2 linked regions of the Coturnix japonica genome follow. The protein of the gene in region 1 interacts with the protein of each later gene in a biochemical or structural test. Links are inferred from orthologs where the notes say so. Each region holds a gene or a part of one and is shown in the gene's direction. Other genes may lie near its edges.

Region 1 (3,660 bases):
TGAAGGAGCTGTCTACCTTAAATCACACCTTTCCCCCCCCCCCCGCCTTTCCCCCCCGGCTCTTTTTATTTGAAAGAAAAGAGAACAAAAGAAACATTAGGAGTGGTTTTAACGTATTGCTCAAAGAAAAATATCACTGTAAAGCATTGCAAGCTGACTAGAGGCCAGCTTTAATCACGAGGGATCCCAAAGTGCTGTGTAAACTTGAACTTTCCTGCTAACTGTACCTGAGGTCCACTTCAGCATCTGCTGGAGAGAAGTGCTCTGCAGTGGTTCTCAGCAGTGCTTTGGGGCAGCCCAAGCAGGAAGCTGATGCTTTCTTTAATGTATTTCCTTGTGATTTTATGTTTTCTTTTTTTCACCTCCTTCTCCAGGGGACTTCTGCATGTTAGATGGAGCCTAGATATCCTACATACATTTTTCTGCTCTAATTTTTCTTCCTTGGATCTGCACCCGTTGCCATAATTGCTATTGTTACACCCGCTGTAATGGAAAAAAGATTAATCTTGGAGACTGTCAGCACGGCTCTTTGAGGCTGCCTTTGAATGACGCAGGCTATTTCTCATGGTACAGTTTGCCAGCACAGCTGAGCTACTGCAACCGCTAGTTGCTGCTGCAAGGTGTGGTCCTGTTCCCAGCCCCATCCCATGTGCTGTTGTTTGAGCACTAGGTGGGCAGGAGGCTCGGCCCCACCAAATGTGGGGGCTTGTTGGGTGTTTAACTCCCTGCTCCAGTTCACTGTGGGATCAGATGAATAAAGGCCAGCCCAGATGGGACGGGAAGGAGGACAAAATGCATGAAAGATACTTTGGCTTCTTGGCTGTTAGATGGGTACAGTGTTGTCAAGTTGTTATTTCCTGCCATACTGCATTTCTTTTCTGGGTTTAATCTTCACCCTACCACTGGCATTAAGGTGTTTCAAGTCACTTTTCCTCATAGGAGTTCTTGTGTATCTCACTGTTGCTGGTTTGCTTTATTGTTTTACTGCTGATGTGAAAACGGGGAAGTTACATTGATTATGAAGGGGAAAAAACCCTTCATATTCCTGTTTTTTAAGATTCACACAGTATTTTTAGCTAAGGAGGTGAAGTTTGGACTTCTTGGTTTATGTGAAGACTCAGGAGTATATAAGGAAATGGTATTTTCATCTGTACTTCAGAATCAGATCTCAGCACAGAATCAAAGGCCGCTGCTGTGCTATTTTGTTTCAAATAGAAAAGGAAATAAAGCTGCAGAACTCACATAAGTTCAGATGCATTCCTGAAAGTCTTTCAGGAGTTGTGTGCCTCCTCAGCCCCTCCTATGAATTTGATTTGAAATGACCTCCTAAATCTGTTAATAGTCTTGTGAAGGGACTCATTTTGCTTGGCCCTAGGTGGAAACCATGCAAGTCCACCGAGTTCTGCAGGAATTCTCGTAGAAGCCAAAATTGCTTACATTGAGCAAAGTGTACATAAATCTGAAACTGTGCTTTGTGACTTACCACCTATTTTTTTTTTTTTTCTTTCTTTTTCATCTGCTTAATTATTATTCTCTTATGTATTTCAGTGTCTTCCTGGAATTCCAGACATTTTTGGCTGGGGCGTGGATAGGATCAGAGCTGAAAGGGTCAGAGGTTCTGCTGGGTGAGCAATAATACACAAACAACCATACTCGCTCTTGGATTGCAAGATTAACAAAGTAAATGTAGAGCTTTTTTTGCAGTATAGATTTTTTTTTTTTCCCCAAATAATTCCAAATTTATATTGTTCTGAAGTTGCACTGTTATATACAGGGCATAGTCTAAATTATGTAATTTGTGCTATTAAACAGTTGACTTCTTTCAGAAGAGCTTGTACTAAGCGAAGAAATCTTGTTTCTTGTGTTTTTGGTGTAACTACTTTGATAGGTTTCAGAATGAGAGGCTCCACCTGAACTTTATAACTTGCAAATGAAAGTCCTCTAGGCCTCAGCCTCAGCTGCAGACCTGTTCTCTTTCACGTTGCAGAGAGGGTGGGAAAGGACACCATGTTCCTTTAAAGCTTGTCTCATATATAGGAAAGAGAAAGGCAAGCACATGGAGGAGAAGGACATAGTTTTCTCTTACCTATTTGACACCAAAGCTGTCACTAAGATGCTGGATTAGGAATTGGGTTAGCCAATTTGGGACATTGATGCTATGCTGTTTTGTGAGCAAAGGGGACCTCATCATTTTATGGGAACTTCTTGAAGAATTGTTTTATTTCAAGATTTCACCTGTATTGCCACATAGCAGGGCTGAGCTGTTGTGAGATACACAAATAATTAAAACAAGTGGAAGTACCTGCTAAATAATACAAAGAGTTAGGTATTGTGTATTTGAAAAGATCACAGTTTTAATGTTCTCATTCCAGATAATTTGGTTGAACATAGCTGTGTTGATTTCTTTGACCAATTTGTTGCTTTTGTTTTATAATGTGTATTATTCCTCATCTTTGGAAGAGTTGTTCTTCCTTTTCTAGTGTAAAAGCAGCAGCACACAGAACAAGGAGAAATTTGTGAGTGTGCTGGGCTGCTCTGCAACTGGCTGTACTGAAGAGCTAATTGTGGTGTTCTTTAATTAATTTTGTTATAGTTAACTTAATATTTTACTACTGCATTTATTGACATTCTACCTTAAAGCATTCTACTCAAAGATATCATGTATTTGTTTGTTGTTTTTATCTCATCTAGATTATTCTGAGTAATTCCAAAGATATTCTCCAACATGCCTGAAAACCCTGCTGCAGGTATGTAGTCTGAAAGTGAATACTCTGTTAAGTGGTGAGAAATTATGCTCCATTCCTAACATATAACTACTTTGTGGTGCAGATAAACAGCAGGTGCTGCAGATCATTGACCGTCTGCAAGCAAAACTGCGTGAGAAAAGAGATGTCCAACATAACGAGAACCTGTCTGTGCTGCGAAACACGCTCAAGAGCCCTTTGTTTAACCAGATTCTGACCCTCCAGCAATCCATCAAACAACTGAAAGATCAAGTGAGTGTAGAATTACAATTGTTGGTGTGATTATAACTATACTGAACTTGGAACAAAAGTCTGTGTAGGCATGCGCTAATGAGGACAGTCATTAATAAGCTATAAGTTGGTGCTACTGAATGTTGGCCTTTTTCTTGTCAAGCCTGTATCTATTGAGTCACTTCTGACATGAGAAATGACCTTACAATGCTCTAGTCATGGGGCACCATGCTTTGATAAGGGTGTAGAAGAGACATCGAGAACCACGTCAGTCTGAGAAAAGCATCTGCAAAAGACATCAGCTCTAATACTTTGAGTTCTGAAAACAGTTGAAACTGAGATTCTCTGTTTTTCTCAGTACTGTTCATCAGCTGACTAGCAGCACCTTGTCTCCTTAAAAGACACTATCCGTTAACTGCTGCTGACTTGTACAAGAATGGTTAACATGCTTTGGGAAATAAAATGTAGAAAATCACCCTGAAGATGTGCCAAGCTCTGATGCAGACATATCCAACCTAGCTTTTAAGTCAGTTAAGTATGGCAGTGGAAGTCATAATGCCAGTAGATGCTTGGATCTTGTAGACAAAGATGTTGTTGACACCTCTACCATGCAGTTTGCCAAGTCAGGCACGGAAGCTTAAAAATCAGGGACTAACTTGGCACACTCTATGCAACACTAATTCCT
Region 2 (2,557 bases), on another chromosome or scaffold:
CAAACATTGTTTTCCTATGCATATATATTGTTATGTTTTTATAAAGCTAAACTGGGATTTCACACTTCCCGGACTTTGCTTTTCCTTCTTCAAGTCACAAAATAAGAGATGTCAGTAAATAGGGAGCAATATTTCCTCATTATAAAGGTTTTCAGCAGGACACATGCATGGGGAAAAGAAGCATTGGGGTTTCTGCTTAACTACTGCTGAGATAAAGTAGAAGCACAGGGACAAAAAGATAGTGAAGATGATGCCAAAACCTATTTCCTCACAGGTTCCAGCAAAACGTCGCCAATTTATATCAGTTCCTATTCCTCACCAGCCAGAGAGCAGAACAGACGGCTACAGGTGAGTCTGAAGCTTTGTTCTGAAGCTATACTGAAATGACTCAGCTTACAGTGTTTTAATGGGACCTTAAAGAGCTGTAGTACACCTTGTACGGTCAGGGTGTGTTTTGTGGAGAGTATCTACACGGCTGAGCAGTACAGTGCTCAGAAGTACATAAGCCATTGCCAGCTCACCGCTGTGTTTTCCTTCGATAACCCACATCTCAGCGTGTTGGTAGCACGGTTGGATCCCAGACCCCTTTTCTGGCTTGGCAGATACTTTTGGTAGCTACAGTCAGGTTCTGTACCTTCTACACATGCCCTGAAAGCACAGCTGAGGGTTACTACTGGCTTTGCAGTGGATGCAGGCAGTGACCTGCCGACAGGCTGAGAGGTTTTCCCTGCATTAGTTTTACCTGGAGCCTTCGGGGCGTTTCATGCAGTTGTGGTCATTGGAAGAGCTACACTTAACTACCCAGGGAAAGCTGTGTGTGTGATGCATATCAGCTCCAGAAACAAGCATTTTCTCTGTTTAATTACATCTTAAAAGTTTATTTTTCTTTCATGTTGTAAACAGCATCAACAACTGTACTACAGTCAAGAAGACACCAACAGAAAGAACTGCGACGCGTACAGGTTGTACCTGCAGTCCCCACACAGCTACGAGGACCCATACTTTGATGATCGAGTTCACTTTCCTGCTAACGCAGACTACACGACGCAGTATGGACTGAAATCAACCACAAATTATGTAGACTTTTATTCCACCAGACGATCTTCTTATAGGGCAGAACAGTACCCAGGTTCACCCGACTCCTGGGTGTAGCATCAAAGGGAAAAAAAAAACCAACAGTACTTTTCTCATCGTGCTTGAGAAGAAATGGAGTGGCCTCATTTGATGTCCCGGTTATGAAATCTGAAGGTGAAATAAAAGAGGAGACAAGGAAGTCTTTTGGTTGGGGTTTTGGAGGGCATTTGGCTTTGGTTTGGGTTTTTTTGTTTTAGGTTTTGCAGGGTTTTTTTTTGTATTTTTTTTTTGGAGTGAAGAACTGTCAGAGAGAAGAACTGGAAGGGATGTTTCTTTGCTCTGTTTAGATGTTAGGTATTATCACTTGTAGCTTCTGTAGTCTGGTGAGGGTGTGGGCCATGTGATGAAAGGTTTGAGGACTGAGTCAAAGGAATTGGAAAGTGTGTAGGTCAGAGCAAATGAAGCCTGTTTTTTATGTGAATAAAAGTCTTGTTCCGATAGTTTGTACAGAAAAAAATAAAATGGATGCCCTTGTTTTATTGATATTACTAAATGTGGAGATTGTATGCTATTATGTCGTGTAAATTTCTTTCATTGGTGTAAATATGGAAATGCCACATTGGTTCCAAGTGCCATCCAGTTGTAATGCAGTGTGTCATTCTGAAAGAGATTTGAAACATCGTACACAAAAAAAAAATAAATTCCAAGAAAATGTTATAAATTTTAAAGATATAAATTAATATAGATCTCAATTAATCAAGAGCATAATTTTGAAGCACAACGTCCCGCTCAGCATCCCTGCACCTCTCCCATTCCATTCTCTGCATATTTCATACAAAAACAAACAAAAACCTTCACTGCCATTTTCTATGCACATGGAAGAACAATAAATATGGACGTCTCATCCATGGAAAGCTGGTCCCTGTTCTTTTATTGTAGTCATTTTTGGCGTGTGGTATTTCAGAACCAAATACTGGCAATGCAAAGTGCAGCTGCTTTTCTTCATCAGGTTAAACGTATCAGAATCCCCTTGGCCATTGTCTCAGCATTGCACGGTGCACATGTTCCAAAGGTGTCAGGCTGGCACAGCAAAGCACAAAGGTACGTCCTGCTCACCCTTTATTCCCCCATCACTTTGGCTACAGACAACTGGGGTTTGTCGCAGTTTCTTCCCAGCACTCCTCTGCTCCCCCCCTTGTTCCCCCCAATCAAATTTCTCTCTCCTTGCTTTCAGCGCGTACAGTCTCCCGTTTGCCTGCACTTCCCTTGGATTTATTTACAACCCAAATCACTGATGATACAGGTAACTCTCCTCACGCTGTAGAGTCTGTTGACTTCATATTGTTCTTAGTTTTTGTTCCCCATCCGAGCAAATTTCTTCGGTTTTCAGTGTCTGCAAATGCCCCATCTGTGTTGGTGCAGTGATGACAGGTAATGTAAGCAGAACTGCTCCAATTAAATTCAATTTCCTTACTTGGTTGGG

Evidence for each region. The genes of interacting proteins can lie anywhere in the genome.
Region 2: the proteins of PATJ (region 1) and PKP4 interact in a test that uses a peptide from one of them, tested with the Homo sapiens proteins (2 studies listed by IntAct, with this or other methods). The link is inferred for Coturnix japonica from reciprocal best matches to the Homo sapiens genes PATJ and PKP4.

Annotation. Positions count from the first base shown.
Region 1 is NC_029523.1:24,550,705-24,554,364, forward strand, and holds part of PATJ (inaD-like protein), read left to right. Parts: intron 1-1,548; 5' UTR 1,549-1,680; intron 1,681-2,691; 5' UTR 2,692-2,725; coding exon 2,726-2,747; intron 2,748-2,829; coding exon 2,830-2,996; intron 2,997-3,660.
Region 2 is NC_029522.1:33,231,491-33,234,047, forward strand, and holds the end of PKP4 (plakophilin-4), read left to right. Parts: intron 1-274; coding exon 275-348; intron 349-903; coding exon 904-1,152; 3' UTR 1,153-1,988; downstream 1,989-2,557. UniProt on the Homo sapiens protein: Plays a role as a regulator of Rho activity during cytokinesis. May play a role in junctional plaques.